7 linked regions of the Macaca fascicularis genome follow. The protein of the gene in region 1 interacts with the protein of each later gene in a pairwise test. Links are inferred from orthologs where the notes say so. Each region holds a gene or a part of one and is shown in the gene's direction. Other genes may lie near its edges. The genes, in order: PNMA5, PRKAA1, NTAQ1, CCDC102B, CSTPP1, TBC1D22B and RAD23B.

Region 1 (3,936 bases):
TAGACTTGCATGGAGGTAGGAGTTGGACTTGGTGAGGGGGCAGGGCTTGGGGTAGGAGTTGGACTGTGGGTGAGGGCAGGGCTTGAGGCGGGAGTTAGACTTGGGTGGTGGAAGGAGTTGGACTTGGTGGGGGGCTAGGCTTGGGGTAGAGGTGCAACTTAGTTGTAGGCAGAGTTTGGCAGCAGGCGTGCAAGTTTTGAGGTGGGGCTTAGGAAGGGGTGCAACATGGCTGCAGGGGTGGGGCTTGGGAGGGAATGAAGTTTGCAGTGGGGGTGGGGCTGCAACCTTACCTTAGGATCCCTTCTGCCCTAGCAGCAGCCCCCCCGCCCCCCACCTCCCTCCTCACCTCCCACCCCTCTCGCCATTCTTCCCCCCACTCCTCCTTCCCCCCCACCCCTCCCCCCTTCCCCCCTCCTCTTCCCTCTGCCAGTTGAGCAGTTTCTTCTACCCCTGCACCAGGGTCCTAGTGGACACCTATGCAGAATCTGAATTGGCATGGCCTGAGCAGGGACATGTGTGTGGGACAGAATCACAGCAAAATACCTGTGCTTTGCCTTGGACAGATCCAGGGAAGCAGGAACCATCACGCCTGAGTCAGGAACTGCCTAATTGGATAGAGTTGAAGAGCAGAGCGACTCTGAAGTGACTGTGTTATTGCAGCATCTGCGCTGCCAGCAGGGCCAACCCAGAAAGGTGAGCAGCTGTGAGGTGGGCCCTGTTGGGAGGGTCTCTGGAACCCCGGCAAAGAGTGTGGAGAGGGGACTGCCTGCCAGCGTTCACAGACTCTGCAGGGTAGGGCCATCTCTAGGGCAAGAGTTGTTGGTTTCCTGCAGTCTGGCAGTGGGGACCTCATCAGGGTCCCTTTTCTACCTGATTTCAGCTTCCACACAATTGAAACCATGAGCTCCTGTCCTTTCAGCACTCACTCCTCAAGCCCACCTCGCTTTCCCTCTCCCACCCTCCTTTTTGCTGGGAAGCTTTATTGGTTGGAGGCCAATGACATCACCTGTTGCTTCTCAAGGACCTTAGCCTTACCACATGACACTCCCCTGCAATAGCAACCCATGGTCCATGGTATTCTCTGTATCCATGGCAACACTGCAGCTTGTCACACAATCTCCACACCCACCACTCTCATTGCATTGCGCAGAGCTCGGCCATCTTTCTCATCTGTCAGGCATTCCTGAGAAAGAGGGCCATTCTACCTCTCCTGCTGCCAGCCTTCACTCCAGCAAGGAGGGTGCTGGGTGACCTGAGCCCACATAGCCCTGAGTGAGCAGTGAGGCCGTCTCCTGCCCTCTTCCGCCTGGAGAGCTTGTCAGTGTCCCCAGATGTCAGGCCCTGCCTCCTGACTTTGGCCTTTTCACTACAGATACCCGAAGCACACACAGCAGAGTCCTCTGGACTTCGAGGAGGAACCCACAGCAGGAGGAGGTCAGCAGGGAGTGGTGAGATGAGGAGATCTTTGCCTGGGGAGAACCTCCACCCTCTACCCTCCCCAAAATAACTTGGGGAACCCTGGGAAGAAGGGACTCCATCCCTGCTCGGGGGTGGGGGCAGAGGAGGGGTGCTTGGGGGTATAGGTTGGGGTAGGCATTAACAATGCTCTCATCCCATTTGCTTTGCAGGCTGTGGAAACCTGGGACCACTTCTACCTTCCTACGTGGCAGTGGCTCAGAGTTATTTGAGTGCTGTCAAACTAAGCTGATTGCTGCCCTAGTATTAGATCAGTCCATAGAAAGTGGGAGCAATGGCATTGACACTGCTAGAGGATTGGTGCAAGGGGATGGACATGGACCCCAGAAAGGCCCTGCTGATCATAGGCATCCCCGTGGAGTGTAGTGAGATGGAAATTCAGGACACTGTGCAGGCAGGCTTACAGCCCCTGCGCGCATACAGGGTGCTAGGGAGAATGTTCAGGAGGGAAGACAACGCCAAGGCAGTCTTCATTGAATTGGCTGACACTGTCGATTACACTACTCTGCCTAGTCACATACCAGGAAAGGGGGGCTCCTGGGAAGTGGTGGTAAAACCCCGTAACCCAGATGACGAGTTTCTCATTAGACTGAACTACTTCCTGAAAGATGAGGGCCGAAGTATGACAGATGTGGCCAGAGCCCTGGGATGTTGCAGCCTCCCTGCCGAGAGCCTGGATGCAGAGGTCGTACCCCAAGTTAGACCCCCACCTTTAGAGCCTCTGAAAGAAAGTATGTGGTACCGGAAACTGAAAGTGTTTTCGGGAACTGCTTCCCCTAGCCCAGGTGAAGAGACCTTTGAAGACTGGCTAGAGCAGGTCACCGAGATAATGCCCATATGGCAAGTGTCTGAGATGGAGAAGAGACGGCGTTTGCTGGAGAGCTTACGAGGGCCTGCTCTGTCAATCATGCGGGTGCTCCAGGCCAACAATGACTCCATAACTGTGGAGCAGTGCCTTGACGCCTTAAAGCAGATCTTTGGGGATAAAGAGGACTTCAGAGCCTCTCAGTTTAAGTTTCTGCAGACCTTTCCGAAGATTGGAGAGAAAGTCTCCACTTTCCTGCTGCGCTTAGAGCCCCTGCTGCAGAAAGCAGTGCAGAAGAGCCCCTTGTCAGTGCGCAGCGCAGACATGATTCGTCTGAAACATCTCTTAGCTCGGGTCTCCATGACCCCCGCCCTCAGAGGCAAGCTGGAGCTCTTGGATCAGCGAGGGTGTCCTCCCAATTTTCTGGAGTTAATGAAGCTTATTCGAGATGAAGAAGAGTGGGAGAACACTGAGGCAGTGATGAAGAATAAGGAGAAGCCATCAGGGAGAGGCCGGGGGGCCTCTGGTAGACAGGCAAGAGCAGAAGCCAGTGCCTCTGCACCTCAGGCCACCGTGCAGGCAAGGTCTTTGAGCGACAGCAGCACCCAGACTGTACAGGGAGGCTTACCCCCATTAGTGAAACGCAGGCGGCTGTCGTGCAGTGAAAGCACTAGGGAAGAAGACTATGGCCAGGCCATGTATCCCAAGGCTGAAAACCAGACTCCAGGCAGGGAGGGGCCACAGGCTGCAGGAGAGGAGTCGGGAAACGAGGCAGGGGCTGGGGCCATGAGCCATCCCAAGCCCTGGGAAACATAGGCTCAGAAGACCCAAGCACTCCTTCCCCTGGCAGGCAGCAGGGACATTTGAACAAAGGGCAGCTTACACTAACAGGGAACTTGATTGGGGCAGAGGGACAGGGAAGCCAGGTCAAGATCAAGCCCCTTTACTTTCCACCAGCTGGAAGGGACTTCACCAACCTAGACCAAATAGCATCTGGTTCAGTGGGGGCCAGGCCCATGGCCCCTAACAGGTATAGGAGACACAAGCAGGGAACAGCTACACTTAGCACAGGGGGTGGCTGGGCTTCAGATGGGGACCCCAACAAAGCAGGGGCTGAAGACGGTGTGGCTGGGGGCTCTGGCCTGGTCATCTGGACACCCCCAAATATCCACCCTGTGAACTTTGAGCTGAGAATGCCCACTGGCACCCAGGCCATGTGGGACCTGGAGGAGCCTGCCTGGGGCCTGCCTCTGCCAGAAGGAGCCAGGGCTGCTGAGGAAGAGCTGTGGGGGAGAAGTGAAGCCCGGCAGGGGAGGCTGCAGGGTCCAGCCCGTCTTTAGGATCATTTACACTGCATGAGGGGAGCCCCAGGAAGGCAGCATTCATGACCCCCTGCACCAGTGAGGAAGAGAAAGAGGAGGAGAATTAAGAAGAGGATGATCAGGAGGAGGAATAGGAGAATAAGGAGGGGCAGGAAGAAAAGGAGGAGGAAGAGGGGGAGGAGAAGGAGGAAGAGGGGAAGGAGGAGGAAGAAGTGTGAGAAGAGAGGACTTGTTGGGGGTGGGTAGTTGTTTTTGGTTTGCGTCATCACCAGGCCCAGGCTCTGCTCACTGCTGTTCCGTGTCAAGAACTCCACCTCTGCTTTGCCGGTGTAG
Region 2 (3,500 bases), on another chromosome or scaffold:
AAGTGTTTAGCATAAAACTTAGCATATAGTAAGTACTCAATAGTTGTCTACTATTTTTGTTGTTACATTATTTTCACTTAACATATCAAAAGAGTATTATAATGAAGCTACCTAATATGTTCTCTTTCTAAGCTGGAAATAAGCTGTTCTTTGTCATTGTCATTGTCATTTGTCCCATAACTTTTTCCCCCCATTGCTACATCAGTGCATTCTCTCTCTTAAAACCAGAGGGAGATTGGAGCATTTTCCTCAACATACACAATGAAGTGCGAGCTAGAAGAGGAAAATTTCAGTGCAAAAAGTGACAGTAATACAGTATGAGTATAAATATAAATTAGGTCATATTCTAAATTCCCCAAACTTACTTTCAGTCTCAGCTGTATTCAAAATCATTCTCCTGATCCTGCCTTTTTCTCTCAGGGAACATGAATGGTTTAAACAGGACCTTCCAAAGTATCTCTTTCCTGAGGATCCATCATATAGTTCAACCATGATTGACGATGAAGCCTTAAAAGAAGTATGTGAAAAGTTTGAGTGCTCAGAAGAGGAAGTTCTCAGCTGTCTTTATAACAGAAATCACCAGGATCCTTTGGCAGTTGCATACCATCTCATAATAGATAACAGGAGAATAATGAATGAAGCCAAAGATTTCTATTTGGCGACAAGCCCACCTGATTCTTTTCTTGATGATCATCACCTGTCTCGGCCCCATCCTGAAAGAGTACCATTCTTGGTTGCTGAAACACCAAGGGCACGCCATACCCTTGATGAATTAAATCCGCAGAAATCCAAACACCAAGGTGTAAGGAAAGCAAAATGGCATTTAGGAATTAGAAGTCAAAGTCGTCCAAATGATATTATGGCAGAAGTATGTAGAGCAATTAAACAATTGGATTATGAATGGAAGGTAAGAAAGAGATAACATTTTGATTATTAGCATATTTGGCAAACCCACCATCTATAAAATGTTTTATAGAAGAATTACTTTTGACTTGGTTTTTGTTATACCATGTGCTAGGTTGTAAACCCATATTATTTGCGTGTACGAAGGAAGAATCCTGTGACAAGCACTTACTCCAAAATGAGTCTACAGTTATACCAGGTGGATAGTAGAACTTATCTACTGGATTTCCGTAGTATTGATGGTATGTACGTCACACAAAACAACATAGATTAGACATTGTTACTAACTTGATATTTTACTCTTTGATTCTTTTGAGGCTTCTTGACTTGTTCCTAGTAATTCAACTGCAAAGGAATAGAAAATGTGACTTCTTGTGCCTTTGCAATATTAACATTTATGAATCTTATTATTGTAGTCTTATAGCATATTGTCCTTTTAAGATTATCATCTTGTAAAATCCTTAAAGCCAGGTGAAGTCTGATCCTAAGGTGATAGTTTTCTGCTGCATTTGTTTTTTTGGTGTAGTTCATTTTGGTAAGATAAATGTTTTATTTAGAAATAAATATTGACTCTTCTGTAAGCTTTTATTTATTATTAAATAAATTTTCAGTTAAGAATGAAGTTACGGCAATTCTTCATCGGCCAATTCAGTTGCATTAAGCTACAGTGTTGAGCATAGGTGTGGTGGCTCATGCCTATAAACAGCCCAGCACTTTGGGAGGCTGAAGTGGGAGGATTGCTTGAGCCCAGGAATTTGAGACCAGCCTTAGCAACATAGTGACACTGTGTCTTTACAAAATATTAAAAAAACAATATATATAGTATCACCTTTGCTTATGGAAGGTTGCATAGAATTATTAGATGAGGTTCACCTATGAAATTTTTTCTTCTTTATAAACTAAAAGATAGTATACACATAGTAGCAGAAAGACACAGGTTTGAGGCATGATATGTTGGCCAAACCAGTTTGTCTGGTTATCTTGAGGTCTATATAGTATGTATCTGCTAACATATAGTAATGCAGTCTGAAATCTGAAACACAGAATGTGTTTTATTTTTCTTGTATTTGGATCAAATTTGCAACCTTAGTTTTACTAGTACTGGGGTATACCAGTTGAATGCCCATTTTTGTTTTTGTATTGTGTTCCCAACCTTAGTTGTTCTTTGATTTTTATTCATTGGAATTGTTGCTGTTTTATGAAATACTAAATGAAATATGAAGGGAAAGTGGAAAGTAAAAAGTACTAAGCCGAGCATTGGGAGAGTTGGGTTCTAGACTTACCTTTTTGTTCATTTGTTACCTTGGGCAAGTCACTTCTCTGGTTGTCTTATCAATAAAGTGAGGGGTTGGATGAGATGGTTTCGAGTATACCTCCCAAATTTGAAGTGCATTGATTCTATGATTTTAGTATAGAGGGATTACATTTTATTGCTATAGAATAATATTTATTAATCCCTAGATTGTTGGTTTACTGGGCTCTTAACCTTGGATTGCAGCTGATGAGTAGCTATACTGTACCCAACTTTGATTAGCCATCTTGAGAATACATACTGAATGTAAAAAAGGTGAATAGTTTAATACAGGCTCATTGACTCTATTTTAGAAGGTATTTAGAATAAACGTGCTCTTGATAGCTGGCCAGCAGCCCCACTTAAAGAAGCAAATACAATACTGTTACAAAACTTTTTGGGAGAAGGTCATAGACTATAATAAATTGAAATTCTTTTTACCCAGATGAAATTACAGAAGCCAAATCAGGGACTGCTACTCCACAGAGATCGGGATCAGTTAGCAACTATCGATCTTGCCAAAGGAGTGATTCAGATGCTGAGGCTCAAGGAAAATCCTCAGAAGTTTCTCTTACCTCATCTGTGACCTCACTTGACTCTTCTCCTGTTGACCTAACTCCAAGACCTGGAAGTCACACAATAGAATTTTTTGAGATGTGTGCAAATCTAATTAAAATTCTTGCACAATAAACAGAAAACTTTGCTTATTTCTTTTGTAGCAATAAGCATGCATAATAAGTCATAGCCAAATGCTTCCATTTGTAATCAAGTTATACATAATTATAACTGAGGGCTGGCGTTTTGAAATGCAATTTGCACAGGGATTGGAACATGATTTATAGTTAAAAGCTAATATGCAGAAATGAATTAAGATCATTTTGTTCATTGTGCAGTACGTATATAGCATAATATACACAGTGAATTATAGGTCTCTCAGGCTCACCTGATTTTTGGCTATTTTATATTTAGTGTACACAGGGCTTTGAAAATATTAATTTACATAAAGGCCTTCATATATTATTACATGTTATATATTTGCTTCATAAATTTATTCAATAAATATTTGCCTAGAATTCTCAAGACCTTTATAGGTGATTTTGTTTTCTGGGCTCCTTAACTTCTTAAATAGCTAGTATCTTCCAGCAGTACTAACAGTCTAGATAACTTCTTCCATATCCCTCCCTCTTTGTTTTTTTGAGACAGAGTCTCACTCTGTCACCCAGGCTGGAGTCTCCGCCTCCCGGGTTCAAGTGATTCTCCCGCCTCAGCTTCCTGAGTAGCTGGAACTACAGGCGCGTGCCACCAC
Region 3 (4,269 bases), on another chromosome or scaffold:
GTATTAGGAGCTGAGAGGCAATAAAATTGGTAATTGACACAGGAACTGGGCTCAAAGTCTTTAGGATTTATCGGCTTTGGGACTCAAGAGATTGGAAAATCAGACTGTGGATGGCTAAAATCAATGTAAACATCTCAGTTTTTATAATGGGAAGTACCCTGATTAGCGAGTTATCCTCATTGCAAATAGAAACAATTCAGAAGACTGTAAAGTGTAAAGTCCTTGAAACTGAAAGTCCCTGATATTAATACTATTCATTCACCATAGATAAATTCTATTTTTTTTCTTTTTTTGAGACGGAGTCTTGCTCTGTCGACCAGGCTGGAGTGCAATGGCACTATCTTGGCTTACTGCAACCTCCGCCTCCCGGGTTCAAGCGATTCTCCTGCCTCAGCCTCCCGAGTGTCTGGGACTACAGGCGCGCGCCTCCACGCCCAGCTAATTTTTGTATTTTTAGTAGAGACGGAGTTTCACCATTTTGGCCAGGCTGGTCTCGAACTCCTGACCTCGTGATCCACCCGCCTCGGCCTTACCAAGTGCTGGGATTAAAGGCCTGAGCCACGGCGCCCGGCCCTAAATACTATTTTAACAATATGGTGTCTTTTCTTCCAGACTGCCAGTAAATGAACAAACACATGATTAACACAAAAAGGATACCATATGGACTCTTTAAACTTTTTTTTTCAAATTTACTATATCAGGAAATTAATATATCTTTTCGAGCCAATAGATATAGGTCTTCCAATTTAAAAGATTAAGTTACAATAGAGTGAGATTTGGGGTGCTATCCCTTTCGGAAAGCGTCCTCGATGCGGTCATATTGGAATTAACCTCCACTCCCCTCCTCTTCTCTGGGCTCCCGCGGACTCCAGGCTGAGTGCTGAAGTGTGGATTTTCACACCCAAACCTCTGTTATTTCAGTGTCTCACCTGGCTTCTCCACAGCGCAGAAGCTCAGCCCCAAGTTGGAAGAGCCTCCCCGGGAGATTCACAGCGAAGCGCTATTCAGGGCCCAACTCCAAGCCCAAACCTAGCTCCACCCTAAGCCGCCGCCAAAGACCCCTCTTCTCCCAAACCTCACCGGGGCCCCGCCCCTGACTCCGCCCACGAGAGCCCAAGCCTCCAGTCCTGCCCCACCCCGGGCTCCACCCACCAGCCGGGCTCCGCCTACCCGGAAGCACGCAGTCCTCCTCGTCCCGGGCTCCGCCCACCGGGAGCTCTCGCCGCTCACCCCACCCCGGACCCGCCCACTTCGCTTGGGCTCCACCTTCCCAGGAACTGGCGCCGCTTGCCCGAGCTCTGCCCATTTCGTCCCGGGCTTCCCGCGCTGAGAACTCGTGCTGCGAGCCCCGCCCACCGCGCTCCTGGCCCCACCGCCCGGAAACTGTCCCGGCCGCCCCGGGCTCCTCCCACCCCGCCCTGAGAGCCCGCGCGGGCCGCTACACGCCCGCCCTTTCCTACGTGTGGTCCAGTCGGTCTTCCTCCGGCGTCGGCGCTGGCCGAGCTAGCTGGCCATGGAGGGTAATGGCCCCACTGCCGTCCACTACCAGCCGGCCAGTCCCCCGCGGGACGCCTGTGTCTACAGCAGCTGCTACTGGTGAGGGGGCGCGGGCGCAGCCTCTGGGTCTCCCAGGCTCCCGGGCCGCGAGTTGCAACCAGGCCCCGCCTCTTCCCGGCCCCTGCTCGGGGGCGCTCCCGGCCTCTACCGGCGGGTTCTACAGTTCTGCGGGAGTAGGGAGCGGGAATGGCAGCTCTTGTCTCTTGAGTAGAGCGTGGGCTGTTGGATGGGGTTGGGAATTCGTCCGGAATCCTAGGGTCGATAGTGCATTACCTGTGCCTGGCGCTTGTCGGTTGGATTTGCTCAGCAGATCTCTGCTTCGGGGCTAGGAAGGGTGGAGCTCTGAAAACCTTTGGAAGTTACTCTGCTGAAGCATGTGGGGTTTCAGACTGAGGCGAAGGTCATTTTAATTTTGGAAGAGAATGGAAGCACAGAGAGTTTGGGATAACTTCCCAAGGTCACCCAGCTAATAGCAGCCAGGAATCCAGTTCGGGCTCTCTGGCACCAGAAACCATGATCTTAACCATGTTGTCATTATAATAATGGTTACATTCACACAGCACTTGCTATATGCCACGCGTTGTTCTGGGTGGTTTAGGTAAACTAAATCACTGAGTATCACAATAACCCTAAGAGGTAGGTATTGTTATCCCCAGTTTAAAGATGAGAGCACTGAAGCACAGAGGGCTGCAAGTAATTTGCGCAGGGCCACATCACTTGTGAATGAAGGAGTGGGGATTTACAGGCAGAGTCTGGCCCCGGAGTCCATGCTCTGCACCCCTGTCCTAGGCCACCTCTGCAGCTGAAGCACCGCCCCTGCCTTGGTCCTTTTTCATTCCCATGCCTACTCTTTCCTGAGTAATGGTTTCTCCCCCAGCTTCTAGTCCTTGCACAGGAACCCTCAGTGCTATCTAAAACTACCCTTCCCCCTTCTGCTTGTCACTAAATCAATGCCACCGAGCATTTGTTCGGCCCTGATTGCATGTCAGGCTCAGTGGCAGGTGCTTCCATCGATGTCCATGAGTAGCTTCTTTTACTATCGTTATCCTCATTTTACTAATAAAAAGAGTGAGCCACAGAGAGGCTGTTGTGTGCCCCCAAATCACACATCTAGCAAGTGGTGGTGCTGAAACTGGAACATCTTCGTGATTTTGAAGTTCATGCATCTTAACTGCTGCACTCTTTTTCTGTCCTGCCTCTTCTAAATCCCGTTAGTTCTCCTCCCTAATGTCCATTGTTTTATTCATTCATTCAATAAATGTGTATTAGGCACTTGGAGTATGTGGCCCACTTCTGGGCACTGGAGATACAGCAGTGAACAAGATCGACAAATTCACTCATGGATCCCTTGGTTCTTGTGTTTTGATGAGAGAAAAGCAGATAAGGTCCGGTGCGATGGCTCACGCCTGTAATTCCAGCACTTTGGGAGGCTGAGGTGGGCGGATCACTTGAGGCCAGGAGTTTGAGACCAGGCTGGCCAACATGCAGAAAGGCTGCCTCTACTAAAAATACAAAAATTAGCCAGGTGTGGTGGCACACGCCTGTAATCCCAGCTACTCGGGAAGCTGAGGCAGGAGAATCGCTTGAACCCGGGAGGAGGAGATTCCTGTGAGCCGATGCCACTGCACTCCAGCCTGGGAAACAGAGCGAGATTCCATCTCAAAAAAAAAGGCAGACAAAAACAAGTAAACCATGTTTGGGTGGTGTTAAGTGCTGTGAGAAAAATAAGATAAAGGATGGTGGCTTATTTTCTATTAGGATATTTTGAGAAGACATTGTTGATAAGGTGATATTTGAACAGAGATCTGAAAAAAGAGGGTGAGAGCTTTGCATCTATTGGAGGATGGTCATTTAAGCAGGGAGAACAGCAGGTACAAAGGCTCTGAGAAGGAATTGTGCTGTATGATAGAAACAGTGAGGAGACTGGTACAATTGGAGTATCAGAGTTAGAGCAGTCTTGTAGAAGAATGGTAAGAGTTGACCACTCTACCGCAGGATTTCTCCGCCTAGGTTCGAGTTGACATTTTGAGCATGATAATTCTTTGCTATGGGGGCTGTCCTGTGTATTGCAGGACATGTAGCAGCGTCCCTGGCCTCTACCCACTAGATGCTGTTAGCACCCTAGCTCTAGTTGTGACAACCAAAAATGTCTCCAGACATTGCTAAGTGTCCTGTAGGGCTTGGGGGGCAAAATCGCCTTTTGCTGAGAAACAGTGCTCTACCCTGTCTGAACATGTCAGGTGGGGGCACTGCACTACTTTGGCTCCTGCAGCTTTGTGGGGTTTTTTTATTTTTGAGACGGAGTCTCAGTCTATCACCCAGGCTGGAGTGCAGTGGTGCCATCTCGGCTCACTGCAACCTCTGCCTCCCAGGCTCAAGCCATTCTCCTGCCTCAGCCTCCCGAGTAGCTGGGACTACAGGCACCCACCACCATGCCCGGCTCATTTTTGTATTTTTAGTAGAGATGAGGTTTCACCACAGTGGCCGGGCTGGTCTCAAACTCCTGACCTCAGGTGATCCACCCGCCTCGGCCTCCCAAAGTTCTGGGATTACAGGCATGAGTCACCATGCCTGGCCATCCTGCAGGTTTTTAAACTTGAAATGAGTGCCTCCTGTCTACTTCTGTTAGCTTCTGTCATGTTAGCTTCCAGATGTTACTTATGCTTCAAGACCCTGCTTAATGATAATAGTGGCAGTTGGTATTTGTTTGGG
Region 4 (4,074 bases), on another chromosome or scaffold:
TAGAATATTTATGTGCATGCATGTGTGTGTGTGTGTGTGTGTGTGTGTGTGTATGTGTGTGTAGTCACTTTGATGAATTAAAATCAGATGGATGCAAGACTAAATAAAATTCTTGGCTGGAGAACTTTCAATCATTTGGCCATGATGGAAGGAATGGTACCTGAAAGTGAAAATGACTGAATTGAAAGTAAAGTTCATCGGCATACATGAAATTGACCAAGGAATGTATGGGATTTAACATCTCGTGGGGAAAATCCGGACAAGAGGGAATGTTCAAAGATAGAGGAGCGAGAATCATGATTAAGTTTAGCTCGAATGGGTCAGTTGGCTTTATATAGGAAGCTGGCCACTTTTTCCATTGCATCAGAAAGTAAGTGGGAAAAGAATATTAAGTAGAGATAGACGATAACACCAGAATAAGCCTACAAATTAGGGAAGGGTGAAAAATAAAACAATTTGAAGACATTATTGCCTACATTTCACATGTTGTTTTTGTGCTACTTACAAGGAGCAAGTCAATCCTGTTACCTTTTGACTTTTTATTTTCTACTTTGGACATTTTTTACTGCTAGTTTCAACCACAGAAGCTCTCTTTTATGCGGTCTTTGACCTCCCCCGACAACCCCCATCAGAACACCTCCTGACAGCCGAGTCATGTCACTGGAAAGCTACTTCATATTCTTTTTCCCCAGGGAAAGGGGAAAAAGCCAGGGAGCTTTCACTGGGCACCCCAGGGACTACAGCTCACATTCCTGCCAATGTGACCACGATCAAGGGTTTTGATATACAGTTCTTGTTTCATAATTTGTATACTCAAATCTTTTATTAAATATGATTTCTTTTGCTTTTGATTTTGTGCAATCTAATGCAAATCAGATTGGATGAATATTTTATATTGTTCTTGTAATCTGCAGTATAATTATTTTAAATATTTTGCAGATAGGTACTTTCTAGGCTTTTATTTTGCTTTGCTATTTTAGTTTTTTCTATTATTATTACAAGTTATACTGTTGTAATTAAACATTAAGTACACTTGGGGATGAAGGCGTGGGTGTCTTTTTCTTTTTCATCCACAGTACAGGTTTCAAATGCTTGCATGGAAAGCTTTGGATAACCATACTTAGGGAACATTAAAAATGATTTTATTTTGGTTGGCTCAATGGTGATCCAAAGAGGGGGTTGTGGTAGTGGTTTCAATAAAATTTCACAACCAATGGGAATCTTTTTTGAGTTTGTGTGGAGTGCCCTTAATGCTGGAAATAATCCTGTTGGCTAGGACTCCAGAACTGTACAGATGAGAAAAGGATGCAGGAAATTCTGTTGTTTACACATGTGGCTGCAACTGAGACGCTGGAGCAGCCCAGCAAGCCCAGAGGGTAAGAGTGTTTAATAACCTTGTGGTTTTCTATTTAATTTTTATATTTTCCTGCTGAGGCAGAGCATGTGTTGTTCTCGGAGCAAAGACAGTTGCTTACAAGATGCAGAGCAAAACTACTGTAGAGCTGGGAAGCAGAAGGATTTGGAGTTTCTTTTTAAAGTGATTTCTTCCTTTCCTCTTTCATTTTTCCACTGTGGGTGTTATCATCCTGACAATTTGTCATACATTTCCTGTCTTTAAAAAATAACTGTATACTAAGCCAAACTCAGGTAAGAATTTCAACTCTACATTTAGACAGCAATAGTGTATGTTGATATTAAAATTTTGTTTCATAGTTCCAAATGAATGTGAATTAGTCATTGTGTTTGAAGGAATCTATATTCTTACAGTAAAAAAGTAAAAGTGTTATGAAAACCTTTCTATCTATGCCTCATGTGCCTTGAGTTCTTTTCATTTGTTGAGTCTTCATGCTAAATTATTGTATTCATTAATGGAAAGTATATTTCAAACTTAGCACGAATATTGATTTCTTTACGTGTTACGTGTATAATGTGGAGGAGATAGGGATACAGAATAAACTAATAAAATCCTGTGCATAATAACAATGATGTTTAGTTATATAGAAATAAATTGTAAAACTGAAAAAAATCTCTGGAAACCATCGAGAAGCATTTGCTTATGTTTTCTGCAAAGATAAATTATCAATTGAGTGTCAAGTGGGTACATTTATTCAATATAAGAAAGATTCTTTAAAAATGTAATTAGAAATATGTCAGTAACATAGGCACCAAAATATATAAAGTATTTATTGATGTTCTTATTTACATCAATGCCAGCTTTTCTGTTTTCTAAAATAATGTGAATGTGTTTTTGCTATCATTTTTGTGGGAAATAGTGTTATTACAACTTTTGAGTAAATATTCTCTTGTTAGTAAAATATGTTATTGACAATAAATATTCTTATATATCCAGTAAATATTCCTGAATTCTATTTCATATTTTAATGAAAACAATAAATTAGAGAGAAATATTTATAAGTTAGTGACACAGTATCTATGTAGGTTTGTGTGATGTATTTGAAAATATTCAGAAAAATGCTTTATGTGAATTGCTTTATTTTCCAAAATCTCATATGTTCTTATGAAATCATAGATCATTTCATTGTCTCTCTTTTGCATACTTCATATGTTATCATTGGAGTCAATAATTGCTTGATCACTGGGACATAGTTTTTGGGCCTCACTATGGGCGTGGCTTCAAAATAATTTATGATTGTTTTATCTAATTATTAGAGCCACAAAACTATGGCTGTAATTCTTAAAATACAAAAAATGATCTCAGGTCATCATATCTCTTATGCTGATATTACAAGACCAATTGAATTCTGCCATAATGCCAAAATATTCAGAAATTCCCTTTTTAGCAGGTATATCAGTCCTAAAGAGATGCCAGAGCCTTTAAAGAAAAGTTCAACTTCTTGAACTGAGTGTTGAAAAACTAGTAGAACTTGGATAGGTGCTGAAAGCAAGAGGAATACTCTACTTTGAACAAGTAATTGGCAAAAAGGGTTTTGAACATGAATTAGCACATAGCACAAAAGAACGGTGAGTAATTCATTGATTGGAGCAGAAAAAATATGCCTTTGTGAGTAGCAGACATTGTACTCAATACATAGAGCAGGAAAAATTTATAGAGCATCTTAACATTTCACACAGAAAAATTTGGTCTTTACATATCATACAAAGGGTCCAATTGCAAGTTTCTGAAAAGAGATGGAGTTTCTGTGCCTCTTTTCATCATCATTACCATCACCATCATCATCATCATTTTGCCAATACATAATAGCAGTTGCTGCATGCAAGATGATTTACATACATATCCACAATTTTTATAACTATGCAATAAAATGAACAATATTTTACACATTATTTTCATTTTGCACATGAAGGAACCTGATGTTCAGAAATGTTCAATGATTTGCTGAAAGCCACAGATAAAGATAGTGAGGGAACCAGAATTTCAGATGTATTTCTGGCTCCAGCGCTATTTCCACTATGCTGTACTGGTATTCTAGGAATGTGAATCTGGCAGAAGTCAAGCAGAATGGTTTGAAGTGGACATCGGGATTATAGGGTGCAGGGAGGAGGCAGTGAGACAACAGTCCAAAGATCCATTCCAATATTCTATAAATCCAGACCAATCACCATTCTGTCAGTTGGGCCACGCATTTCCTTTGGGAATTGAGAGAAGAGAGACTGACACTGCAAATAAGGGGTAATTTTTACATTTAAATTAGCTGCTCTCATATTCAACACTTATGCTTTTCTATCTCCTACATTTTCTTAAATCTACTTAGAGAAGATTATCTTTTGCATTCTCAGAGAAAATGTCATCACTGATTTGCATTGAATACTACCTATTCACAAATGAGACATGTGAGGTGGCCAGGAATGACACTGGGGATGCACTGACTTTCCTCTGTTTCTTTTTGATATGTGATATCAACAAACACACAGCGACCAAATAGTCTTAAAACTATGGAATCACCAAGTTATTATCAAGTAAAGGCATTGTATAAGTTTCATTTCAATGGGTGAAAAGCATATATAAAATTCACATTGTAATAGATAGTGTAAAATACAGTATATTCAAAGTAAAAAAGAATAGATCTTATTTATTAACATGTTTTTCTTCAT
Region 5 (4,234 bases), on another chromosome or scaffold:
ATACCAAATTAGTAAATTTGCCTCAAGACACTAAGCCCCGCTCCTACTTTGGCTCTGTCCTTTTATCCTCACCACATCCAAACTTAGAGTGACTCACAGGAGCCTAGAATTGAGACACATATACAATTTTAAGGGAAAGCAAGAATTAGGAGGTTTGAGGCTCCTTGCTGGAGGAGGCTAAGAATAGGCCACTTGGAACACAAAGAGAAGAACCTCCTCTTTCCTTTTCCTCCCAGTGTAGGTGGTCTACTGGTTTCCCAGTCATTCCTTTGATAGCTTGATTTTGTTTTCTTTGTCTCTTTTTCACAAACCTCACCTTGTTGGAGGGGGAGGGCACCAAAAAAGTGAGGACAGACTGGCTTTTTCTGCTATGACTGAACTGTGTGGAGTGCTACAGATCTCTGACCTGTTGTCAGGAGTAGGAAAGGACAAAAAAATATTTGGGAACTTGAAAACCAAAGAATATTCTCTTAAAGGAGAAGTGAGCAATTGGGCATATGGGGAAAAAAACCTAATTGGTGATGTCGTTTCTGCATCCCCTCCCCCTCAAGAAGAGAAATGTCTTGGTAGGAAAAAGGAAAGACATCTGGGAAGGGTACCAAATAGTGAGGGCTAGGAATAGAAAGAAGAACCAAAGATAAAAAGGAATTGAGGCCGGGCCGCAGTGCCTCACGCCTGTAATCCCAGCACTTTGGGAGGCCTGAGGCGGGCGGATCACCTGAGGTCAAGAGTTCGAGACCAGCCTGGCCAACATGGTGAAACCCCCGTCTCTACTAAAAATACAAAAAATTAGCCAGGCGTAGTGGCGTGCGCCTGTAATCCCAGCTACTCGGGAGGCTGAGGCAGGAGAACCATTTGAACCCGGGAGGCGCTGGTTGCAAGGAACCGAGATCATGCCACTGCAATCCAGCCTGGGCAACGGAGTGAGAATTGAGAAGAAATGGCAATTATCTCAGAGGCGTTAAGGAGCACCTTTTGTGTGTCCAGCTGTCGTAGGCAGAAAAGACACATCTCTGACCTCTAGAAGCAGCCAGGGTATAAAGATACCTAAGCACTTTGTAGCAATTTAAGATAGTAAATACCAAAGAGATAAAAATAGGTAATGGGATACTAAGTGTTTATGGGGGCCAAAGGGCGGGGGCTATTATTGAGTTAGGATAAACAGTGTATAAAAGCAGGGATACTTATGAAATTCAGAACCTGCGTATATGGGCGGCTGACAGTAATTCTTCGACACCGGGAAACAATGGATTCAAAAGAATTCTTCATCTCAGATTCCTCTAAAACCAAATCTTTAACAATGGGAGTCCAAAGAAACCTGGACCGTCGTGAGGCGACTGCCCCCGGAACTTGAGTGGCCAGCTCCACTTTGAGACACGGAGACTGTTTGTGTGACACCTCCTCCAGCTCCCGTCCCCTTTCCGCCGCGTGGGTGCCATGGCAACGGAGAAAGACTGCAACCTGGGTTCCGGAAGTCTGAGAGCTGGAGCTTTGAAGCCACCCCGGTCAAAGGATGCTGAGTCCGGAGCGCCTAGCCCTACCGGACTACGAGTATCTGGGTAGGAACCCCCCTTCAACTTTGGGGAGGGAAAGACGTGCAGACGAATTAGGCCGGGGTCTGGGAGGAGGCGGGGGCGGGGGCCGGGTCTGAGTGGGATCGGGTCCGGGTGGTATTGGGAGGGGCGGAGAGGCGGGGGTTCTAGGGCCTGAACCTGTAAGGCCGAGTAGGAAGGAGAAAAGCACCTGGGAAGTAAAGAATTGTTTGAAGTGTAGGGGCTGGAACTCAGGCAATGTGGATTGGGTTCAAAGTGGGTCAGGTTGGAGTTGAGGATTTGGGGCCCTGTTGGGGTATTATTGACCTGCTGTTAGTGTAGTAAGAATAACCTTGGAACCTCAAGTGCCAGATCAGTCATTCCGTGAGTAACTGTCTTACCATTGCGGCGACAGCGAACATTTCGAGCTTTTCTTTTTCATTAGGCACTGTGCTAAGCATTTTACATGCATTATTCTTCATTTGAATTTCTCAACTGCCCTAGGAGGAATTACCGTGTTTTCTTCCAGTTTTGCAGGTGGAGAAACTGGGGCTGAAGAGATAACTTGTGTAAGTTAGGCCACACAACTAGAAAATGGTAGCACTAGGATCAGAACCGGATTTGCCCACTCCAACAGAACTTGAGATACTGACTTAGCTCTTGAGCTAAGACTGTATATGTATACTTTCTTGAGCATCTTTAGTGTGTAAGGCATTTAATGAATGAAAAAAAGCACACATACACATGGATATGTACACACACACATATGCACACAATACACTTTTTTTTTTTTTTTTTGAGAAGGAGTCTGACTCTGCCGCCCAGGCTGGCGTGCAGTGGCGCTATCTCGGCCCACTGCAAGCTCCGCCTCCGGGGTTCACGCCATTCTCCTGCCTCAGCCTCCCAAGTAGCTGGGACTACAGGCGCCCGCCACCTCGCCCCGCTAATTTTTTGTGTGTTTAGTAGAGATGGGGTTTCACCGTGTTAGCCAGGATGGTCTCAATCTCCTGACCTCGTGATCCGCCCGCCTCAGGCCTCCCAAAGTGCTGGGATTACAGGAGTGAGCCACCGCACGTGCGAGAAGTTTTAAGTTTACAGAAAATTGAGCAGATAGTACAGCGAGTTCCCATATATCTTGGGTCTCCCTCACTCACAGTTTCCCCTATTATTTATGTCTTGCATTAGTGTGGTACATTTGTTACACTGGATAAACTAATATGGACGTATTATTATTGCATATAATATATAATATATAATAATTAGGGTTACTTCTTTGTGTCGTTCAGTTCTGTGGGTTTTGATAAATGCGTAATGTCATGTATTCACCATTCCATTATACAGAATAATTTCACTGTCCTAAAAAATCCTCTGTGCTCCACCTATTGATCCTTCTCCCTCCCCCTGCAGCCCTTGCCAACCACTGATCTTATTGTCTCTAAAGTTTTGCCTTTTCCAGAATATCATGTAGTTGGAGTCATACAGTGTGTAAATTTTTCAGATGGGCTTCTTTAACTTAGCAGTAAGCATTTAAGTTTCCTCTATGTCTTTCTGTGGCATGATAGCTCATTTCTTTTTATTGCTGAATAATAATTCCATTGTATAGATGTACCATGCACATCTTTTTTTTTTCTTCTTCTTTTTTTTTTTTTGAGACAGTGTCTTGCACTGTCACTCAGGCTGGAGTGCAGTGGCACTATTACGGCTCACTGCAGCCTCGACCTCTGGTCTCACGTGATCTTCCTACCTTAGCCTCCCAAGTAGCTAGGACTACAGGCACATGCCACTATCCCTGGTTAATTTTTTAATTTTTTGTAGAGCAAGAGTCTCACTATGTTGTCCAGGTTGGTCTTGAACTCCAGGGCTCAAGCAAGCCTCTTATTGTGGCCTTCCAAAGTGCTGAGATTACAGGTGTGAGTCACTGCACCTGGCTTACATCTCTTTTTTTTTTTTTTTTTGGAGATGGAGTTTCACTCTTGTTGCCTAGGCTGGAGTGCAATGACGCGATCTGGGCTCACTACAACCTCCGCCTCCCAGGTTCAAGTGATTCTCCTGCCTCAGCCTACCTAGTACCTGGGATTACAGGCATGCGCCACCACGCCTGGCTCATTTTATATTTTTAGTAGTGACGGGTTTCTCCATGTTGGTCAGGCTGGTCTTGAACTCCTGACCTCAGGCGATCCACCCACTTCGGCCTTCCAAACTGCTGGGATTACAGGGGTGAGCCACTGCGCCCGACCAACATCTTTTTAAATGAAAAACAACTCTGTTTTAAATTTTGTCTAATTTATTTTAAAAATTAATTTTAAAATATTTTTTAAGGTTGGTAATATGGAAACTTGATTCAAAATATTTTTTAGGCCAGGCAAGAATAAGTTCCACAAAGTGGAATTGGTGGATCAAGGGCATATGCATTGAAGTATTGATAGATATTGCCAGATTGCCCTTCATAAGTGTTATACCATTTTGCCACCAGCAATGAAAGAGAATGCCTGTTTCCCCACTGTCCTGACAACAAAATACATCAAACTTGGATTTTTTTCAATCTAAGTGACAAATAGTCTCAGAGTAGATTTAATGTGTATTGTTAAATGAAGTCGAGTGTCTTTTTACCAAGTTTAAGGGCTGTTGGTCTTTGAAAGCTATATATACACAAAAATATACATGAACATATATATATATATATTATATATATATGCACACAC
Region 6 (3,969 bases), on another chromosome or scaffold:
TCCTATAATTCTAAAATTAGGGGACAAAAGAAGCTTGAAAATGGGAGTAATGTAGAAACCGTCGTTGGAGGACATACCCGTCGGGGGTCGGGTCTTTATGTATTCTCCAATATGTGGAAGTACATGTGGTAGCTGTAAATGGAGGGTGGCGGGGGAGTGGGGGACACGCAGCCCACCTCAACAGTCCTTCGATGGGACAAAAACCACTCTGGACTGGTGCCCGCTTTCCCTCTCTCCCCAAATCACCACGGAATACAACCACAGAAACTCAAAAACAGCAAAAAACACCGACAAGACATTCAAAGGATTCAAAATGCTAATATTAAATCTCATTGTCTGGGAAAATTAGATTGAAAATAAATTCAAGGGTGCAAGATTTATAACAGATTAACAAGGGAAATTAAGGATGTTGGTGGGGCCGGGAGGAGATACATCCTTAACTTTGTGATTCACACGATGGAGCTATACTGTGTCCTTCAAAGAAATCGTATTTGGTAATCTGAGTTGGACAGCTATGATAAACCATTTCCTATACACCGTTAGCATAGTCAGAAAGTGAGAGTTATGGATTGACATAGGGATTAGATCATTTGAATTTTTCACCCACAGCACAAGTCCTTCAATCGTTTTCAATAAACAGAGGGAGAGGGAGACTCTGATGAACCGTTGCTCACGTGTTGAGCAGTTAGCAATCCCGGGCTATCGGGTCCCTGCTGACCTTCAGAAAAACGAATGGACATCTAAACGGAACGAGGAAGGGAGGGTAATAACCAGAGTGTCATTGAGTTGAGAGATGTTAAAAATGGGCCACAACAAACACATGGGCCTTTACTTTTAGGTCAAATATTCCTATATATAAATACATAGTATGCTCTCTCTTGCCAAAAAATATTAGACTCAGGAACTTCATTCCTCACGAAGAAGATAATCCCCTCTCTTCCTTCCCATAGGTCCCTTACTTTACCTGCTTCTTCCCTCTTGCGGGTTAGGAACTTTGAGCCCCACCTCTCTGCTCGTCCAAGCTCCGCCTTCCCCGTCCACCTGTGTGCCCAGACCCTGACGTTACCCGTTGGCTTCAGCGGCCTGCAGGATTCCGGCTCCCGATTGGTCGGCCCGTCCACGGCTTGCGCAGCCCACCAATGGCAGCGGTGCTGGGTGGAGGGGTGCCCACATCCAAGATGGCGTCCCTAGGAGCTGGGAGCGGGTGACCGGCGGCGGGGAAGCGGCCTGGGTTGGCCCTCAGATTGCGGGGTCTGGGGGCATCTCGCCAGGCAACCCCTTGGCCCGCCTACAAGGCCTTCCCCCTGCCAGAGCAATGGCCGCTGACAACAGCAAGCAGTTTTGGAAGAGGAGCGCTAAGCTGCCGGGGAGGTGAGCCCAGGACGCTGAGAGGGAGAGGGTATTGGACCAAACCCTTCCAGATCCTAATCCCTAAATCCCGCGGCCCTGGGGCGCCACCGAGGCCGGAAGACTGGTTTGGGGCAGCTGTCAGGCAGAGGAGCGAACAGCGAGCTTTGGGGACGGCTGGATGTGGGTGTAGACCGGGGTCTGGGGGCGGAGGTTTCTGGAGGGGTGACCTCAGCGAGAAGGTGGCCGAAGATTGGGCGTAAAGGGGAGTGGAGTTGGGTGAGTAGTCAGTGTCGGCCCTGGTCTCGGGGGTTCCTCCCCAGAGCTGCTTCCCACTCTAATTAGGACTCCCTCTCAGGGGTCTCCACCACGCACAGGTGGTTGGTCGCTCGAGGATGGCTTGCTCCCCCAGCTCGGCACTTACCCGAAGGGTTCTTGTGGGAGTTTGGGGTCGCCTGCCGAGAGGGTTAGGCAGGAAAAGTGAGGACAATTCTCAACTCCGACCTTACTTTATCTTGAGTTGGCCTTTCCCACTGGGAATTATTACAAGGCGACCACAGAATCAGGTTATTCCTTTGGCATTTTCTAAGGATTTGTCCAACCCCAAGTGACTTCTTCCTCCCCTGTATTGTAATGCACTTCTTGTGCAAATGCACTAAATTCTTTCATTCTTCAGTTGTTTAGCTGGAGAGCAGACCTCCTAAGACTACTCCCACCCTCTTTGTGGTGTATGTTGAGACTTTTGGCAAATTATCCATTCATCAGTCTACTGTTGGTTTACTGTTTCAGTTTATTTTGGGCAAAGTCCTGAGAAGTATAAGGAAGAGTGTGTATTTCAGTCGTGAATCTAAGATTTCTGCCAGCCACAGTCTACTTGGTGATGAAATTCATGTTTGGTTGTGCCCCACGTGCTACCTTTTCTAATGGATTCAGGTTTTTTCTTTCTGGGATGATCTTTTGAACTCGTGACTTTTTTTTTTTTTTTTTTAAGCAAGAGGGAGATGAGGGTCAATAGTGGCTAAGTTAGAGCCTTACTTTTTTTTTTTCCCCCCAATGAAATAGAAATAAGGTCTGACTATGTTTGGGCTGGTCTGTAACTCCTCGCCTCAAGTGATCCTCTTGCCTTGGCCTCCCAAAGTGTTGGGATTGTGGGCGTTAGCCACCATGCCCCACCAAGAGTCTTGTTTTATTAAGGATCCTAGTAGACATATGGAAAATAGGTGGAAATCAGCTTTTAGTAATACTTATTAAATAATAGAAAGATAACTTCAGATTAAAGTGCTGCGGACTTGCGGTGTTGATATAACTGTTAAAGATGTTCTGTGTTTTTAGGTAAGCACCACTTCCTGCCAACTGATTCCTTTTCCTTCCTGGTTTAGTGAGCTCTCTAGTTGTGCTAACTGCTATTCTCCGGGGTTTTCCATAGTGAGATCATTAAATTTTGACATCCTAAGATTATAATCAGAATCAATAGGAAGACAGTTGTATCAGGAAGCAGTGCAAGAGATGTGCTTCTGTGCCTTCTGACTGGTGGTTGCTATTAACAATCTTTTTTTCCTGTATTTCCTGTATTTGACTATAAGAACAGTCAACTTTTTTAAAGCACTACTTTTCTGAGATAGGAAGAGAAGTCTTTTCAGTTTCTTCAAGCTTCTGGATTCCCTTTTCATTTCGAAGAATATAGAGAAATAGAGAACTTTTGAGTTCAGAAAGACTTGGGTTACTATTTGGGCTCTCCTGTGTGTGTGACCAAGACAAATAATCTATCTAGGCCTCAGTTTCCTTATCTATGAAATGAGAAATAAAAATACCTTCCTCAGAGTTACTGTGGGGACTAAGTGAAATACCCTATTTGTAAAGAACCTAGGACAGTGTTTATTTAGCACATTATAGTTGCTCAGAAGACAGTAGTTATTAATATTACTGTCATTATTAGAGCAAGTAAACATTTAAAAGAATGTTACTCAGATCCTTACCCCAGCTCATTGTCTTCCTTGTTTGTTTTAAGGTATTCAAATATTGTCACAATTCATAATAATTTTTAGTACCTTACTTGGTAAAGAGAAATATTTTTCAGCTGTGTGCTTTTAGCAGTAAAGCCCACAAGCCTCTGGTCGTGGGAGAAAACTAAGGTTCTTTTAGATAGAAAGGTACTTTGATTTAAAGAAAATATTAGAGCATTTTCTCAAGAATAGAACTTTTGCATCTGTACTCTTTCGGTCTTAGGGAAGAAAAACTTTCTCCTGGGTGGGGAAATGACACAAATGACTGTACTAGACGCATGGCAACTTGGAAATGAAACTGCTTTACTCTTCATTGCAAATTGAAAGGTGAAAAATCAAAGCGATGACAAGATTCTTTCTGTCTGATCATGATCCAACAACCTTAGTGACAACAAATAAAAATTTTATTACATAAAATAACAAGTTACAAATGAATGAAACGTTCTTTTTAAAAATAACAGCTTTATTGAGATATTAATATACCATGAAATTCATTCTTTTAAAGTGTACATTTCAGTGGTATTTAGTATATTCATTTATAGTACAGATGGTTTTGTGCAACTATCGCCACTAATTTCAAAACATTTTCATCATCCCGAAAAGAAACTACATACCTGTT
Region 7 (3,500 bases), on another chromosome or scaffold:
GGGCTATGAACGAGAGCAAGTAATTGCAGCCCTGAGAGCCAGTTTCAACAACCCTGACAGAGCAGTGGAGTATCTTTTAATGGTGAGAAACGTGTTTTACTTTACTTCATTCTAGTTGTTTAAGATCAAAATCTCAAAGAAACAGATTTTAAAGGACCACTTCACCTGTATGATATATGCTAGATGATACACAGTGCTTTTTTTTCTAGTATGTTTGTATTTTGTGTTAATAAAATGTAACCTTTTTTAATATAGTGGTCCAGCATTGTAGTAGCTTTTTAGGTACCACTGTGCATGAATTATTAAGAACAAACATTTTAAGCTTGAGAATTCGGGCCAAATTCTTTTGCTTATACTATGTATATATCTGTAATAAGTTGCCAGCTTTTTAAAATCTGGGAAATTTCACATATAAGTACAGATTTCTGGTTTATCTGGACAACTTTGGATCCCAGATTTTTGCAAGGGATTAAGGAAAATATTTTAGATCATAGAATCTAATTCATTATCCTCTGATTCACTCTGTTACCAATGTAACATCACGCATTTAACGAATGATGTTACTTACCTGGTTCCGTTAGCATTTGAATTTGTTTTTATAGTCAGTAGGAGTTGAGGGACTTTTTGAATAAGGTTTTCTTTTTTTACCGGTAATGGGAGTTTTTGAGAAATAGATTGTTGTGGACATTGACTGAAACACTTGGTATTAAGATGAAAGTCTGCTAGTTTTACAGATGTGACACAGGCTAAAGTAATTGAATTAACTTTTAAGAAATCTTCTATTCTATAATTGTCTGCTGTTTTGGAGTATTATCGAAGTCTGAATTGCCCTAAATACCATCTTAGAGTTGCTCTTTTTGTATCTTAGAGTTAACTCTTTTGGCAATTAATCCACAGTTTAACCCATTCCATTATGTCTAGGTTGTCCTTTGTGTCTAAGTTGTACTTCTGTTAAAAATTCCTTTCAGGTAGCTGGCTAGTTTCAGAAGAGTCAGTTATAAGCCTCATAACTGTACTCGGCCTCCACCATTTATTTGCCCATGCATTTGGATGTGAAGTTCACAAAACCTTTTCTTAGCATATTATTTTATCTTTTTAAATTCACTTTTTCATTGTCTTCTTGAGTAGTGTCTTTAAATGCTGGCAGTTTATCCAGTTTGTTTGGAATTCTGGAATTAATTGTTGTGAATTTGTTTGGTGAGGGGTGCATACCCTAAACAGATTGTATAAAAGTATTAGCTTTTATGGAGTGGCTTTCATTTACACTTGATTTAGAATTCTGCATAAGTTCAACGGTATCAGTTATTGTGATCTAATGGATGTGGAGTTTTGAGGTATAAAAAAAAAGAATCATTGTTACCAAAGTTGCCAAATGCTAAAACTGCTGTATAGCATCAAATGCAAATAAATAGATGAGTCATGAGTTCATCAAACATTTTATAACTAAAATGTTTTTTATATGTTTGCTGTTTGTTTCATAGACTGGAGGGGAAAAGTTGCCTTTAACTGTTACTAGTTAACAGATAAGGTGAATGGGTGGAAAGAAGAAATGTTGAGCACTTATCTAATAAGAGGCTATGTAACATGTGTGAGAATAGAGGTTGATCTGTAGCAATGAAGATTAACTTTTTAGTTTTATAAAACAGAATTTGATGGACCCTCTGGATCCTAAATTTGTATGTAGTTTGTTAGCACTTAAATAACTGACCATCTAAGTTAAGGGTTTGAAATGATGAACTCATTCAAAAACATTGGTTTTAATGCCTGGAGTGACATCTAATGCATGCAGCCATTTTCCTGCTGTGTTGCCCTTCATCCTTTATATGTTGTTGCTTTTGGCTTCTAGCTTATTAGGAAATGGAAGCATTTATCATCTTATTCAATTGTAATACTTGGTTCTTTATTCTCTTCTTTTCAAAATCTATAAGAACTTGATAAAGACTTTTTTAAATTTTTAAATGACAAGTCTTATCAACACATGTGCATCAAAATAGATGTCCCAAAATATTTTAGTGCATGCAGTTTTAAGCTCTTAATAACTTTAAAAGATAAGTACTATAAACTTACAAAAGGCATCACCTAAAAACTAAATGGTTTCAGTTTATTTTAGATCAATTTTGTGCATTTTGAAAAATTAAATTTTTGGAAATACTTGAGTAGCTCATATTTATGAGATACTTTGACACTTTCTCAAAGAAACGCTTTATTCAAAAGTATGTCAAATTTATGAGATACTTTCTGAGTGACACTTACTCAGTACCATGGATCAGTAGAGGAGATCCTCCTGCCTGACCGCTGTATACCTGGTCTGTATCCATTAGATATTTTTTCCCCAGGAATCATTTCAGAACTGTCAAGTGTGCATCAAAAACTCTTTTTTTGGATTATCTTAAGCCCGGGTTGCAAATTCAATCCTTTTTGTTACTGAGTAACAGCTGATGAAGATTTCTAAGAAGTTAAAAAGTCAACTGAAGTAATAGCTGGCACAAAAACCTTTGGTTATGTTCAGTTTTAAGAAGGTACATGTATCAGTATTTTTCAAATTTGACGCCAATTACGTGTGCCTGGTAGGCATCTTATTGGACAACACAGGGAAAATTTCCATCATCATGGAAAGTTCTGCTGGACAGTGCTGCTTTGCATTATTACAGCAATGTGGGTTTTTCTATAATGCACACAGGTCATTTCTAATCTAATTTTAATCCATGCAGCTTAATAATCCTTTACTTTTAATTGAAGCAGACGTCTGTTTGATGCTTTTGAAAATCAGACAAGATGTTAAATAGACTATAAATCTTTTACTCTGTATAATATTAAATTTTGCCTGAAGGGATATCTTAAAGCTTGGAAATTCTGTTATAGGGAATCCCTGGAGATAGAGAAAGTCAGGCTGTGGTTGACCCCCCTCAAGCAGCTAGTACTGGGGCTCCTCAGTCTTCAGCAGTGGCTGCAGCTGCAGCAACTACGACAGCAACGACAACAACAACAAGTTCTGGAGGTAAAGTGGAATCTTTTGGATGGAGAAGGAATGGCCCTGAATTTTTACTGTAAAATGATTTAATCTGAAATACTTCAGAAATGAGGTTCATTCCCAGAGCAGCTGAATGATTCATTAAGTTCTCTCTTCACTAATGTTTGAGAAAGGCCCAAAAGAAAGTCTCCCAAGTGGATGTAAAAGGTATCCTTGCTGATATTAAACATCAGTTGCAGTTTTGTCAGAGGGCATATTCTGTTTTATTTGTTTTAAGGAAAAGATGCTTTCCAGTTTGTATTTAGTGTTACTTTCTGATGCTGTTCAGAATGGTTTGCTCACTTTGTCTCGTAACTCTCTCCATAAATTTTACAAAGTGTATGTAATTTCAAAGCCAGCAGGATTTCACTAGTTAATACAACCAAGGAAATGAGACCTTGAGAGGTTTCAAACCTTGTATCTAGAGGAGAAAGCAGAGCTTGAATTGAAGTCTCCTTACTGGGGTACTGACCATACCCACACATTGCTA

The links.
Region 2: the proteins of PNMA5 (region 1) and PRKAA1 interact in binary tests that used the Homo sapiens proteins (3 or more experiments, as listed by UniProt). The two-hybrid records come from large-scale screens. The link is inferred for Macaca fascicularis from reciprocal best matches to the Homo sapiens genes PNMA5 and PRKAA1.
Region 3: the proteins of PNMA5 (region 1) and NTAQ1 interact in binary tests that used the Homo sapiens proteins (3 or more experiments, as listed by UniProt). The two-hybrid records come from large-scale screens. The link is inferred for Macaca fascicularis from reciprocal best matches to the Homo sapiens genes PNMA5 and NTAQ1.
Region 4: the proteins of PNMA5 (region 1) and CCDC102B interact in binary tests that used the Homo sapiens proteins (3 or more experiments, as listed by UniProt). The two-hybrid records come from large-scale screens. The link is inferred for Macaca fascicularis from reciprocal best matches to the Homo sapiens genes PNMA5 and CCDC102B.
Region 5: the proteins of PNMA5 (region 1) and CSTPP1 interact in binary tests that used the Homo sapiens proteins (3 or more experiments, as listed by UniProt). The two-hybrid records come from large-scale screens. The link is inferred for Macaca fascicularis from reciprocal best matches to the Homo sapiens genes PNMA5 and CSTPP1.
Region 6: the proteins of PNMA5 (region 1) and TBC1D22B interact in binary tests that used the Homo sapiens proteins (3 or more experiments, as listed by UniProt). The link is inferred for Macaca fascicularis from reciprocal best matches to the Homo sapiens genes PNMA5 and TBC1D22B.
Region 7: the proteins of PNMA5 (region 1) and RAD23B interact in binary tests that used the Homo sapiens proteins (3 or more experiments, as listed by UniProt). The two-hybrid records come from large-scale screens. The link is inferred for Macaca fascicularis from reciprocal best matches to the Homo sapiens genes PNMA5 and RAD23B.

What each region holds. Positions count from the first base shown.
Region 1 is NC_088395.1:159,084,105-159,088,040, reverse strand, and holds the start of PNMA5 (paraneoplastic antigen-like protein 5), read left to right. Parts: upstream 1-1,136; 5' UTR 1,137-1,434; exon of another isoform or gene 1,435-1,448; intron 1,449-1,628; 5' UTR 1,629-1,750; coding exon 1,751-3,097; 3' UTR 3,098-3,936.
Region 2 is NC_088380.1:41,061,020-41,064,519, reverse strand, and holds part of PRKAA1 (5'-AMP-activated protein kinase catalytic subunit alpha-1), read left to right. Parts: intron 1-420; coding exon 421-907; intron 908-1,018; coding exon 1,019-1,145; intron 1,146-2,639; coding exon 2,640-2,884; 3' UTR 2,885-3,500. UniProt on the Homo sapiens protein: Catalytic subunit of AMP-activated protein kinase (AMPK), an energy sensor protein kinase that plays a key role in regulating cellular energy metabolism.
Region 3 is NC_088382.1:133,061,078-133,065,346, forward strand, and holds the start of NTAQ1 (protein N-terminal glutamine amidohydrolase), read left to right. Parts: upstream 1-1,469; 5' UTR 1,470-1,513; coding exon 1,514-1,596; intron 1,597-4,269. UniProt on the Homo sapiens protein: Mediates the side-chain deamidation of N-terminal glutamine residues to glutamate, an important step in N-end rule pathway of protein degradation.
Region 4 is NC_088392.1:11,861,966-11,866,039, reverse strand, and holds the start of CCDC102B (coiled-coil domain-containing protein 102B), read left to right. Parts: upstream 1-1,274; 5' UTR 1,275-1,376; exon of another isoform or gene 1,377-1,647; intron 1,648-4,074. UniProt on the Homo sapiens protein: During interphase, forms fibers at the proximal ends of centrioles to maintain centrosome cohesion. During mitosis, dissociates from the centrosome following phosphorylation to allow centrosome separation. Contributes to CROCC/rootletin filament formation.
Region 5 is NC_088388.1:18,908,257-18,912,490, reverse strand, and holds the start of CSTPP1 (centriolar satellite-associated tubulin polyglutamylase complex regulator 1), read left to right. Parts: upstream 1-1,434; 5' UTR 1,435-1,513; coding exon 1,514-1,559; intron 1,560-4,234. UniProt on the Homo sapiens protein: Regulator of the tubulin polyglutamylase complex (TPGC) that controls cytoskeletal organization, nuclear shape, and cilium disassembly by balancing microtubule and actin assembly.
Region 6 is NC_088378.1:134,396,958-134,400,926, reverse strand, and holds the start of TBC1D22B (TBC1 domain family member 22B), read left to right. Parts: upstream 1-1,169; 5' UTR 1,170-1,315; coding exon 1,316-1,371; intron 1,372-1,494; exon of another isoform or gene 1,495-1,626; intron 1,627-3,969. UniProt on the Homo sapiens protein: May act as a GTPase-activating protein for Rab family protein(s).
Region 7 is NC_088389.1:50,796,609-50,800,108, reverse strand, and holds part of RAD23B (UV excision repair protein RAD23 homolog B), read left to right. Parts: coding exon 1-82; intron 83-2,862; coding exon 2,863-2,998; intron 2,999-3,500. UniProt on the Homo sapiens protein: Multiubiquitin chain receptor involved in modulation of proteasomal degradation. Binds to polyubiquitin chains.